Cricetulus griseus: one gene and its partners. The protein of the gene in region 1 purifies or fractionates together with the protein of each later gene. This does not show direct contact. Links are inferred from orthologs where the notes say so. Each region holds a gene or a part of one and is shown on either strand. Other genes may lie near its edges.

Evidence for each region.
Region 2: the proteins of Mtmr3 (region 1) and Aurka purify together in Homo sapiens (affinity purification with mass spectrometry; 3 studies listed by BioGRID and IntAct, counting the BioPlex papers as one, with this or other methods). This does not show direct contact. The link is inferred for Cricetulus griseus from reciprocal best matches to the Homo sapiens genes MTMR3 and AURKA.
Region 3: the proteins of Mtmr3 (region 1) and Plk1 purify together in Homo sapiens (affinity purification with mass spectrometry; 4 studies listed by BioGRID and IntAct, with this or other methods). This does not show direct contact. The link is inferred for Cricetulus griseus from reciprocal best matches to the Homo sapiens genes MTMR3 and PLK1.

The regions. Positions count from the first base shown.
Region 1 is NW_023276807.1:100,405,347-100,408,846, reverse strand, and holds part of Mtmr3 (myotubularin-related protein 3), read right to left. Parts: intron 2,855-3,500; coding exon 2,744-2,854; intron 2,304-2,743; coding exon 2,215-2,303; intron 1,525-2,214; coding exon 1,498-1,524; intron 749-1,497; coding exon of another isoform or gene 592-748; exon of another isoform or gene 1-591. UniProt on the Homo sapiens protein: Lipid phosphatase that specifically dephosphorylates the D-3 position of phosphatidylinositol 3-phosphate and phosphatidylinositol 3,5-bisphosphate, generating phosphatidylinositol and phosphatidylinositol 5-phosphate.
Region 2 is NC_048599.1:6,970,856-6,975,140, forward strand, and holds the start of Aurka (aurora kinase A), read left to right. Parts: upstream 1-1,485; 5' UTR 1,486-1,624; intron 1,625-3,500; 5' UTR 3,501-3,505; coding exon 3,506-3,547; intron 3,548-4,285. UniProt on the Homo sapiens protein: Mitotic serine/threonine kinase that contributes to the regulation of cell cycle progression.
Region 3 is NC_048596.1:78,505,948-78,509,921, reverse strand, and holds the start of Plk1 (serine/threonine-protein kinase PLK1), read left to right. Parts: upstream 1-1,174; 5' UTR 1,175-1,264; coding exon 1,265-1,666; intron 1,667-2,411; coding exon 2,412-2,580; intron 2,581-3,209; coding exon 3,210-3,354; intron 3,355-3,974. UniProt on the Homo sapiens protein: Serine/threonine-protein kinase that performs several important functions throughout M phase of the cell cycle, including the regulation of centrosome maturation and spindle assembly, the removal of cohesins from chromosome arms, the inactivation of anaphase-promoting complex/cyclosome (APC/C) inhibitors, and the regulation of mitotic exit and cytokinesis.

The DNA of each region.
Region 1 (3,500 bases):
CTGTGGTTAAATGAGTCCAGCACTGAAGCAGCTGCCAGCTCAGCACTCAGTGCTGACTTGGGGACATACCCAGTGGCTGCACCAACCTTGGTACTGGCCATCTGGGTAGCTTGAGGTCACAGGGAATTCAAAGTCAAAAGGAGTTAGCCTGTGGGTCCCTCAAAGAAGACAAATAACTATGCTGCCCACCTGGAGATGAAGAACCCTGTCTGAAGGCCACTGCCTTAGAGGCAAGTTAAATGCAGACGGCTGCCAGCAGCATGCAAAGCCAAATGCCAAAGCAGTTACTTGACACATGCTCAGCGTGGAAGGGAGGTGGAAGGACAGACCATGAAGAAATATATGCATATATATATATATCCCTATTAGACAGTGGTCAGTCAGCTATGGTTCACTGCTCTGCCCCATGCATCTCCAGGCTCCCCTGTCCTTTCCACCAATACCCCTACTTCCTTGCGTCTGTGCTGCATGGATCTGCACACCCGGACTGATGCCCATCACACACACACAGGAAAGCTAACAACACAGGATGAGTTCTGCCTACCTTACAATCCTACATTTGCTGAGCCCTAAAGTATAAACCAATACTGATCAGTTAAACACAGGAAACTCCAAGGTACCTGACACAGCTCTCCAGAGATGAGAAGAGGAAGTTAATAGGAAAGCTTCCTCTACGTTAACTTCCCAGCCATGCTCCTCAGAATGCAGACCACACGGGATAAGGACCACCTGAGCACAGCAGTGGACACTAACGACCACATGAGACAAAGCAACACTGTAGAAGGGAAGGTGGGACACAGGGCAATAGGACAAGGAACCAGAACACAAAGCTCTTTGTTTCTAGAATGTAAAAAGCACTTTACAACTTTCTAAGAAGCATGAATCACCAATAACTTGTGATGCTTGAAAACAGAACAGGAAATCTTCTCAATGTCTGTACTTGTTTGACATACTGCTGAAGTTCAGCTTTTTTAACAAGCCTGACACAAATCTGATCAATTAAGCTTTTTTATCTGACTTCCTTTGGGAGACCCTGAAAGACCTAAGTGGAGTCTTCCATGCTAATGAATTCTCTGGAAAGATGGTATCTGTTCATTTCTGTCTATAAAAACAAAACAAGGAAGCAATGCCATTTGACTTGAAAGTTACCGGTATCATCCTGGCATCAAGGAATGATTGTCTCCTCTCCCCACCAAAAACGTCCCGAAGCCCACTGGCTTCCCCCGAAAGATCAGCCTTGCAGAAGTACCACTTCTCATCAAGAGTGTAACAGCCCAGCTGGCCTGCACAGTCCAGAGGGGAGCACAAGGCTGCAGCAGACACACCCCTGGCAGTCTCTTTCATCAGCTGCTATGGATCCCCATGCCCACCTGCCTGCCTGTGTTCTCCCTTATGAGACTTCAGCCCAATGAGTGCAAAGAAGGGAATGGCAGCATTAGTGTGGAGAAGTTATTGTGGGTGTGCAGACATCACAGACAAGTTGTTGCAAATGCTCACCACGTTTGATCAACACGGTCAGTGTCCCTGAAAGGAGGGGAGAAAGAACTCAGAGGAAAAGCCTTTTGGTCTAGGGATGCAGGGTGGGGGAGACCCATGGTCCTAAGAGTGTTATCTGTCTACAAAGAAGTTTTTCCATCACTTTCAATCCAGGCTCACTTCTTCATGTGGCCACTACACGATTCTGATAAACTTCCTATCCTAAGAACATTAAACATCTACCAGACAGTTGCCACCCTTGCCAGAGCAAAGTAGCCTTAGTAACTCACTGCTCAACCTAGGAGAAAGAAGTTGGGAGCAGCAAGGATTGGAGACTGCCCTCAGCTGTGTCTACTATTCCCTAGATACAGCTGCTCAGCAGTAGCATTGGGATCAGGGAGCAGAAAGAAGTAGGAAAACTAGGCTCCCTGCCCACATCTAGAAAGCTGTTTTTGCTCAAAGTAGCCATGATCAATTGTATGTTGGAAACAAGAAATGATGATCTGCACGGTAGTTGTTACCTTGCCAATCTGGGAAACGAAACAAAGTGTGTCCGAGTTTCAAAATTTAATAGTGATCATTGAATTGGAACAGAGTTCCCAAATGCAGTTCTAGAAGGACCAATTTCAGAGGCACAGAAATGTGACCTCAAGGGCAGCTCAACAGAACACTTGCTGGTAAGATGTCAAAGTTCAGACTCCATAACCCATCCCACCCTAAAAGTCACCCCAATGGCACCTGCAGTGGTGCTTCCTGCTGGCCAGCCAGAAGGCACTGTCACAGGCATAACAGTGGGCAGCCAAGTGGTCAGGTAGCCAACGGGTCATCTGTAAAACACATGGGACCAGGTTAGTGACAGACATGGGCCAGTCATCTGAAGTCAACAGAGTCACACCAGGGGGAGCATGAGTCACAAGGACTACATGGGCTCCAGTGGTATCAGTGCAGCAGACCTGCTGACAACAGTTCAAGGAAGGTGTCCAAATTATTTGCCTGGAGGGGACTCTCATTTTCCCTGAGGCAACGTGGTAGCAGTGGCCCCCTGGGCTGCCATAAGAGCTGGCAGAGGCAATGGAGAGAGAGGGCCAGCTCACTGAGTGTCCCTGGCTTAGAATTGATGGATATGGGTTCCCAGACACTGAGATACAGAGGCTCAATTCTAATGTGACTTTCTTCCTTGGTGAGGGGCATGGGGCAGGGACTGGAGTGGAGAAGAACTGTAGGACACCTGCATGGATGGCACGCAGAGCAGGGGCTGAGCCTGTACCTCTGTGTCCTGTTTATCCACCTGCTCCCAGCTGGCTTCAGAGAAAATCTCTGTGCTGCAGCGAGACAAACAGTTCTGATCCAGATTGCTTTCCGAGTCGGGGATTGAAGTCTGTTGGTAAACAAACACAGCTGAACAGAATGGACCTGTCTCCTCCCAAAGGAAGAACAGAGCACAGGGACCTATGAGTGCTAAGGTGCCAAATGTGCAGTCACACCAGCCATCCAGACTTGGGCTGACCAGGTGCAAAGAAGGGCTGAGCTCAGAAGGCCATATGGATTTTGTCAAGTGACACTGAGTGGAAAGATGGGCCTTAGGGAAGCAAGTGAAGTGACCGAGGAGAAGTTCCTATGTCAGCTATTCTGGTGGGCCTCGAGATCCAGTCCAGCACTTAATGAAAACAGTGATTTGGGTGTGCCCTCTTTTATCTGAACTCTTTGGGACACTGAGATACCATTATTAATTAGTATGAAGAAAAAGCTGAAAGTTCCTTTGGTTGTAAGGTCATTGGATCTGGGATGATTACTCCAGAACTTGCCTTATATTTGTAATCTCTTACCCATCAAAGAAGAAAGCCCCTCTGGGAACCCAAGAATCCTGGCACCCTCATTTCTAGCCACCAAGCCTCATCAGTGCTAAGCCCTTGGCAATGCTTAAAAAAATAAAAGTATCAATCTCTTCTCTCCATTTCTCCTGCCAGCACCTGCCACAGAGTGAATACAAACACTTGTTCAAAAAGAGCAAACTCTCAAAGCTC
Region 2 (4,285 bases), on another chromosome or scaffold:
AGGCAGATCCCTGTGATTTTGAGACCAGTCTGGTCTACAACACAGGAGGCCGGCCAGGGCTGCATAGTGAGACCCTGTCACAACCAAACCTAAAATGATACCACCAAAACAAATAAGAAATGCAAACATCTCAACAGATTATGCTCCTCTCAGTTTTACTTGGAAGGATTTAAGCTCTCCAGTCCATGAACATGAAACGCAACTGAAGACGCCGGCTTCAGTTACCAACTTGGGCAAATAATCTGATAATTACCAGTACGTGTGCGGTTAGAGTTTGGCTATCGGAATCTGGGAACAGCGGGAGGGGAGGACTGGGGGTTACAGACAGGGGTTACAGTGTTTGCTAAGCCTGCCAGACGCCCTAGGCTCAGTAACAACAGCAGCAGCAGCAGCAGCAGCAGCAGCAGCAGCAGGACCCTCCAGGCCACACACAGCACGGCACTGTCGGGAGACCTCAACAGTTACCACTCATCGAGCTCTTGCTACCGCCGGGTACGACGACCCCGAGCACCCGATCGGCATTAATCTCGACACGCAGGCATCCAGAGACTCGTGCACTTCACGTTAGAAATAAGCGTGTACAAGCCTAACCCTTGCATGAGACACTGGGACTCGACAGAGAGTGACACGAGTTCCAGAAAGTTTCCAGGGCACCCGGTCAGGCTACAGCCGGCCCCCAAGGGTGAGGGCCGGTCCGCGCAGCCTCCGCTCCCGCCAGGGACGCCCGGGGCTGGGTCTCGAGGTGTAAAGGGGGGTGGGGGGGGCGGCGGCCGAGCCTTCACCCGAGTCCCCGGGAGGAAGCACGGGCGGGCGGGAGGAGCCCGGCCCGGGGCTGCAGGGGGCCCACCCCGCTCGGGCGGAGGGGAAAGCAGGGAGCCGCCGGGACCCAGGCCCGAGGCTCGCTCGCTCGCTCGCTGGCTCGGGGTGCAGGCCGGGCCGCTCGGCTCCGGGGCGTCCGGCCTCCCGCCACCCTCTCCGCTGGCTCCGGGCCCTCTCCACGCCAGCCCCCGGCGCCCGCACCAGCCCGTCTCCCTGCGCCTGCCACCCGAGCCCGTTCCGTACCCCCGGATCAGGGTCCCGGTCTCCCGCTCTCTTCTGGAAAGATGGAGGCGCGAATCGTGCCCGATCGATCGCTCCGAGCGCACGCCCACTGCGCACGCGCCAAGGGCAGGCAGCCGAGCGCCGAGCACCCTCCCGCTCACTCGGCCAGCCTGCCCTTCTCGCCATCTTACTCACTGGCACGTTCGAGACGCTCACTCACCTCCTCCGAGCTGATCACCTTCGCGGCAACCCTGAACCCGAAGGGCTGCTGTGTGACCGGCAAACGCCCGATCCTGGGGAGCACGGCGAACGACAGAACGGCCACAGATCGGACAGGCCGTTGGCGCACCACTTCCGGGCGCTGACGGCTCAGTGCGCCTGCGCCCCGGCTACGGCCCGGAACGAGCTTCCCGTCGTCGCGTTCACGGCGGGCCAATCACAGGACGGCGCCGCTTCGCCTCCAGCCAATCAGCTTCCGGAGGAGAGGGTTTAACTCCTGTTTCAAAGGAGAACCTTTGAATTGTAACGGCTGAGCTCCTGGAATCGCTTGGAGTCTTCGCTGGAGACGCGATCCTGCCCCGGGGTAGGAAGGGGACCCGGCGGGCCAGGGAGAGCCTGGGCGCTGCAGAGCGACGCGGGGCGGAGAGGGGCCCGGGGGTGGCGGGCTGTCTCTCGGGGCTCGCATCGGTGCAGCGGAGATCCAGGTGGCCTCGTCCCTCCTTGGGTTTAGGTTCTGGTGGGAATGGGACCCGGACCACCGGCCATACCGGGTGATTTGCAAACCGATGGCGGTGGTATGGACGAAGCAACTGCGGCTCAGTGGGGACCAGGCGGGGGTCCCCTTGTAGAGACGCCCGGGGTCGTGCTGCCCCCTCACCGCAGCCTTTTGAGCAGTCGGTGTCGGTGTAGACCCGCGGAAGCTCAGCTTGTAGAATATTCCGGAAGCCCCGGGCTCGGCCCCCAGCACTGCCTAAACCATCATGGTAGCCCCCGCCTTTAATTCCGATGGTGAGGAGGTGGAGGCAGGCGGATCACAAGTTACATGGCAGATCGGAAGCCAGCCTGAACTGTGACCCTGACTCAACAAAAAAAAACAAAAATAAGTCATCTCCCCATCCCCACACCCAGCGTGGTTGCTCACATCAGCAGTCTGAGGCAGGAGGGTAGCCTTGAGTTTGAAGCTAGCTTCCGATACAATGTGAGAGCCCTTCCCAAAAGTGAGGCCTATCTGGGAATGTAGTTCTTGTGTACCACGCCCTGGATTCAAATCCTAGCACTGCATACACTGGGCACGGTGACCATGTTTGTAATTCCCATTGGGGAAGTGGAGGCAGGAAGATCAGAAGTTCAAAGTGATCCTCCATTATAGCATGTTCAAAGCCAGCCTGGGCTACATGAAACACTGTCTCAAAAACAAATACAAGACTGATATGGTCCCAAATTCCTTTAATCCCATCACTTGGGAGCAGGTAGAAGGACTTCTGAGTTCCAGACTACCTAGGAGGGCTACACAGAGGTACCCCATCTCAAACCAAACAAACAAAATCCTGGCTCCACTGCAAATGTAGGAAATAGAAATATCTTAGGGATAGGATCCTGGTATAGCTAATCATGGGAAAGCTAAAATGCAGGTCATTTAGCCAAGCTGGCATCTGGTCCCAGGGCTCCGTTTCCTACAGGCTTCCTACAGGTGAGGTGGGTACAGCCCCAGTCCTTCACTTAATGCCTCCATCTCCTGCCTAGCCTCCCCCATCTTTGCAGTAGGGGCTTTTCAATAACACGCAGGTGTTTGTCCTGACTGCAAGCAGGTGTTTGTCCTGACTGCAACCCGTATCTGAAAAGGGAAGCCCAAGGCTGATTCCTGCTGTGTCAGGAGAACTTTTCTTACATGGAGTTGTAAATCTTGGCTGAATGGGATCTGTGAAGGTCATCTGATGTAGATGAGAAGGCGAAGGACTGGGATTAGGGGAAAAAATGAGGCCAAGCCAGGAGGGTAGGAAGTGACAGCTTGCAAGGTAATAGATAAACTGGGAAATGGGCAAATGTGATTGGCTGAAACCTGTTCCCCAGGAATCAAGTTAGTGCTGGGTTTGCCACCGTAGGGGAAGCTGAGAGACTGGCAATACCGTGGGATTCAAAAGGCCCAATGGGAATGGCTTGGGAAAAGAGTAGGTGAGCTTTGTTGTTCAAGGGTTATGGGAGATGGGACCATGGCCTGGGGTAGCTGTGCAGCAAATGGGTAACCCAAGCAGGCTGTATATGCTGGGCATCATGTTTTAGAGCAGAAAGAACAAGCCCAGGAGGGAAGAGAATGAGAGGATGTGAGGAGCTGGGTGCAGGATTGTCAGTGGGAAGTGTGAGGTTGCAGGTCACAGAGGCCTGTCTGTCAGAGGCAGTGACTGCGGAGCACAGCAGTACGTGGCTTCCTGTCAATGAAAGGCTCTTGTTTCTCTCTTCAGGTGACATGGACAGATGTAAAGAAAACTGTGTTTCCAGGCCTGTTAAGGTAAAAAGAATTACCTGTAATCACAATTGAATTTTGAAAAGTTGTTTTGAAATGAAATGCATTTTGTTTGTGTGCACCCATTGTTGTAATTTAAGAAAAGCAGCCTTCAAGAAAGATGGCATGAGACAGGGTTCAAGCAGAGAAGGGCTTTTTATTAGGGAAAGAGATCATAAATAGGGGAGGGGGAGACAGGAGCACCAGCAGAGAGAGAGGGAGGGAAAGAAAGAAAGAAGGGTGGGAGCTGACAGCAGCTGAGGGCGTATCCTGTCAGAACAGGCCAAGGATAGATGCCTAAATACTAATATTCCTCCCTCTTATTATAAAAAGATGAGTCATTAGAAAGGGGTAGCAGGTGAGGTGGGGATGAGACCATTGTGTTTTCAAGACTACTTCCTGCTGACCTGGGGGGCATCGTTCATCTTTGGGGGACCTAGGAAAGCTGGGGTGCTAGCCATGTCCTGGAGTAGCTGGCTGTTTCACTTCACTGTCCAGGCTCTGTGGAACCATCAAGGTGCCTCCTGAACCTGGCAAAATGCCGTTCTTGGTGAATCCAAATCAACACCCTAGGGCGTAAAGCGCCTGGTCCTTTCCCGTCACCACAGCATCACTGGGCATGTTTGGTAGTCTTGTGCCTCCAGCTCTACGGCCAACACCTGGTAGTACTGCAACAGTAGCCGATTAGGAATGGTCCGTGGGTCTCCAAAAACATCTCAATAGGAGCAAGGAGGCATAGATGGT
Region 3 (3,974 bases), on another chromosome or scaffold:
CTGCACTGTGTGGCCATTCCTTTTAAGTGTTGTAAATTTTTTTTTTTTTTTTTTTAAATGAAGGCCAACAAACACCCCTGCTGGGCAGATTTGGCCCTGCTACTTTGCTAGCACTCTCCAACCAGCCATCCCTCCCTCTGACTAAAAAAACTAGTTTTCTCTATTTGGAGCAACTTAGGACAAGCCAGGTAACCTTGCATTCATGCTCCTAAATTTGCTCCGCGAACCTGGCCGGGCCGGTGCAGAGATCTTGCTCTGCTCCTCTCCTCCCCGAATTCAAACGCAGCGAGAGGGGGGAGAGAGCTGATGCTTTTCTTTTTTTCTTTTCTTTTTTGGGTTTTTCGAGACAGGGTTTCTCTGTGGCTTTGGAGACTGTCCTGGAACTATCTCTTGTAGACTAGGCTGATCTCAAACTCACAGAGATCTGCCTGCCTCTGCCTCCCGAGTTCTAGGATCACCTTGTGTAGGAATCACCTGACAGTCTTGTTTGACCTGCAGGTCAGACCTGGGCGGTTTCTTTCCTTCGAGGGTAGGGGGGAAGGAATGTTGCCTGGTAGCTGAGGCTGGCCTTAGGCTAACTTGCAATCTTGAACCCACGCTCCTTCTTAAGGAGTTCCTGGGTGTTGCAGATACTGCTGACCCCTGGGTTTTACTGGAGAAGTCTAGAGCTCCTTTCAATTCGGGCTCCGGGAGTGGTTGCCACAGAGCTTCCTTTTGCCTGCCAGACATGCTGGGTTTGTTCAGGTTTGGGTTTATATAGACTAGCCAGGGAGACGGCAGTCGAGGGCGAAGGCGGTGCACTGCCAAGCTACCTCTAGGCCTGGAGTTTCAGATCTAGAAGGCCAGGAGGAGTGGAGGAAGGTGTTAGTTAGGTCCTAACTGGAGAAGCCTCTGGAGGAGGGGCATGAACCACAGGAGCATTCTCTGGCCGAGGAGCAGAAAGCCGGACCGAATTCTGTCCCCTGGGTATTTCCGCGTATTCCATCCGCTCCTAGTTTCCCAGGGTATCCCACGTGCATTTAATCCTTAAGTCCCAGCCCATCAAGTTTCTCCTCACAAGATCGGGGGTTTAAAAGCGGCTGCGCCGTAGAGCACTCCCATGGTGCCGCGCGCTGGGCGGGTTTGTATTTTAAATCCCCGCGGCCAATCAACAACGCGCAGGTCCTTGTAACGTTCCCAGCGCTGCGTTTGAATTCGGGGAGGAGCGGAGCAGGGCAAGATCTCTGCACCGGCCCGGCCAGGTTCGCGTAGCAAATTTAGGAGCATGAATGCAGCGGCCAAAAAGCTGGCTCGAGCACCAGCCGATCTCGGGAAAGCTGGGGTTCCTGGAGATGCAGCTACCGGTGCCCCAGTGACCGCCCCGCTGTCGAAAGAGATTCCTGAGGTCTTAGTGGACCCACGCAGCCGGCGCCAGTATGTGCGGGGCCGCTTTCTGGGTAAAGGAGGATTTGCCAAATGCTTCGAGATCTCGGATGCAGACACAAAGGAGGTGTTCGCAGGCAAGATCGTGCCGAAGTCTTTACTTCTCAAGCCCCACCAAAAGGAAAAGATGTCTATGGAGATTTCTATCCACCGCAGCCTCGCACACCAACACGTCGTAGGCTTCCACGGCTTTTTTGAGGACAGCGACTTTGTGTTTGTGGTTTTGGAGCTCTGTCGCAGGAGGGTGAGTGTTTCTGCTGTGGTGTTGGGGCGACCACACCGGGAACTTGCTGGCAAAGAGGCATCGACGCCTTGGAGTGGCCTAGAGGAGTGCTTGGGTTTCAAGCAATTATGAAGGGGCTCCTGGTGAGGGTGTTTGGCATTCCGAGCTGCTGAGGCCGGGGGTTGAGGGCAAGCGGAACCCGGGACCTGTTGCTATTATTAGGGAAGGTGGCTCCTGCACGCAAGACTGCCAGTAGGTGCAGGAAATGGGTGTTTAAAGTGATTAACAAGGGTCCCAAGCTACGGCTGCCGCGGACCTAGAACTTCCGGAGTGGAGTGGGGCAGGGTCTGGAGTGGGGGAGGGAGGAGAGGCTGTCTGGAGTCAGACCTCAGCTTTCAGGAAAAGGAGAGGGTCTCCTGCTGGGAGGAAGCCCCTAAATAAGGGGTTGAGAGAAGACGCTGGGTAAGGGTACTCGTTAACAGGAGAGGGGTCCTGTGAATGATAATGGCCTGACCAGTGTATGGACAGAACCATTAGGAGCCTGCCAAGACATAAGAATTATGGGTTAATAAGTGGAAGAGTTAGCTAAGCCTGTACTATAGGCCGAGCATTTATAATTAATATAAGCCTCAGAGTAGTTATTTGGAATCGGCTGGTCGGGATAGGAAACTTCCGTCTATACTTTACTCCCGAGGGTTTAATCTTGGCCACATCCAGCTGGCCACCCTTTTCCTTGGGCTTAACTACCTTCTTCCCTCTTCCTCAGTCTCTCCTGGAACTGCACAAGAGGAGGAAAGCGCTGACCGAGCCCGAGGCACGCTACTATCTACGTCAGATAGTCCTGGGCTGCCAGTATCTGCACCGAAATCAGGTCATTCACAGGGACCTCAAGCTAGGCAACCTCTTCCTGAACGAGGATCTGGAGGTGAAAATAGGTGAGGTGCTGGGCCTGCGGGTGTCTGGTGCCAGTACAAGAGGTGGCAAGGAGGGGAACTCTGGGAGAATGGGAGCCAGAGAAGTGGAAGGTGGGTGGGAAATGGAGGTGCTGCCCTCCAGAAAGCCTTCTTGTCCAGAAATGGAAAGTAAGTGTCCCACAGGCCAGTGTTTTGCTGTCCCTTTACTGAGCTGAAAAGCACCTTTTCCCTTGAGACTCTGATTTGCCTCAGTCCCTATACTCCTGTCACTTTTCTTAAACTTGTCACAGTCACAAAGAATATTTACTTGATTCCCTAGTGCATCCAATTCTGCTATCCTATGTATTTTAAATTTCATATATGTGGGGTTCGAGATAGAAGGTAACTTTCTGGAGTCAGTTCTGTTCTTCCATTGTGGGTTCCAGGGTCAACTCAAGTTGTTAGTCTTAGCGGCAAGCACCTGTACCTACTGAGCCATCTTACTTCCCTAGCCCTGCTATCTAAAGAGGAGTGTAAAGGGCAGTGGGAAGGTTCGGGAACAGAGACTGGAGTCTTGAGGCACTGGCTCTCTATGGTCAGTCCTGAGGCAGTTGTCTGCAGCCACAAGATGGCCTAGCAGCTAATCACCTCTCTTCTTCCCTCTGTCCCAGGGGACTTTGGGCTGGCAACCAAAGTGGAATATGAAGGTGAACGAAAGAAGACCTTATGTGGCACTCCTAACTACATAGCTCCCGAGGTGCTGAGCAAGAAGGGACACAGTTTTGAGGTGGATGTGTGGTCCATTGGGTGTATCATGTAAGTTGGGAATGGACTCAGGAGCTATTGGGTCTCAACAGGATTTTCTGAGGCATTTCATCCAGTTGACCTTTCCCTCTGGATCCCACATGAAGCCCCTTTTCCTTATTTATCAATCTATAGCATTCCTGTAGCTTGGACTTATGGTCCAGGGAAGGGACCAAATGTGTCTACACTTCTTCCTCCAGCTCCTTGCTGCTTACTAAAAGCATGCACTAACCCAAACCATCAATACCTCTGAGGGTTTGTTAGGATGTGGAAATCTCAGTTCTGGACCTGGGTCTAATAAAATCCCTGGCTGACTTTCAGTAAAGCTTTGGAAACACTGATGAGTGCTGATGGGAGAATCAGATCAGCAGAAAGGTTCATGGTAGGCAGAAGCTCCATCATGGTGCTTGTGCCTGTGGCAGATAGCAGTGGCCTCTGCGGTTCTTGAGGAGTCCTCTATTACTGCAGGCCAGAGCTGGGGAATCTCTAGCGCTTGGTATTCAGTGTTGTCACCTGCATTCTTCTGAGGGCTTATCCCAGCCATTGGCTTCTATGAGACTGAGCAGACTTGGAGATCAGCCTCATCCGTTCTGAGTCAGTGAATCCAGCCCAGCTCCCTTCCTCTAGACAAT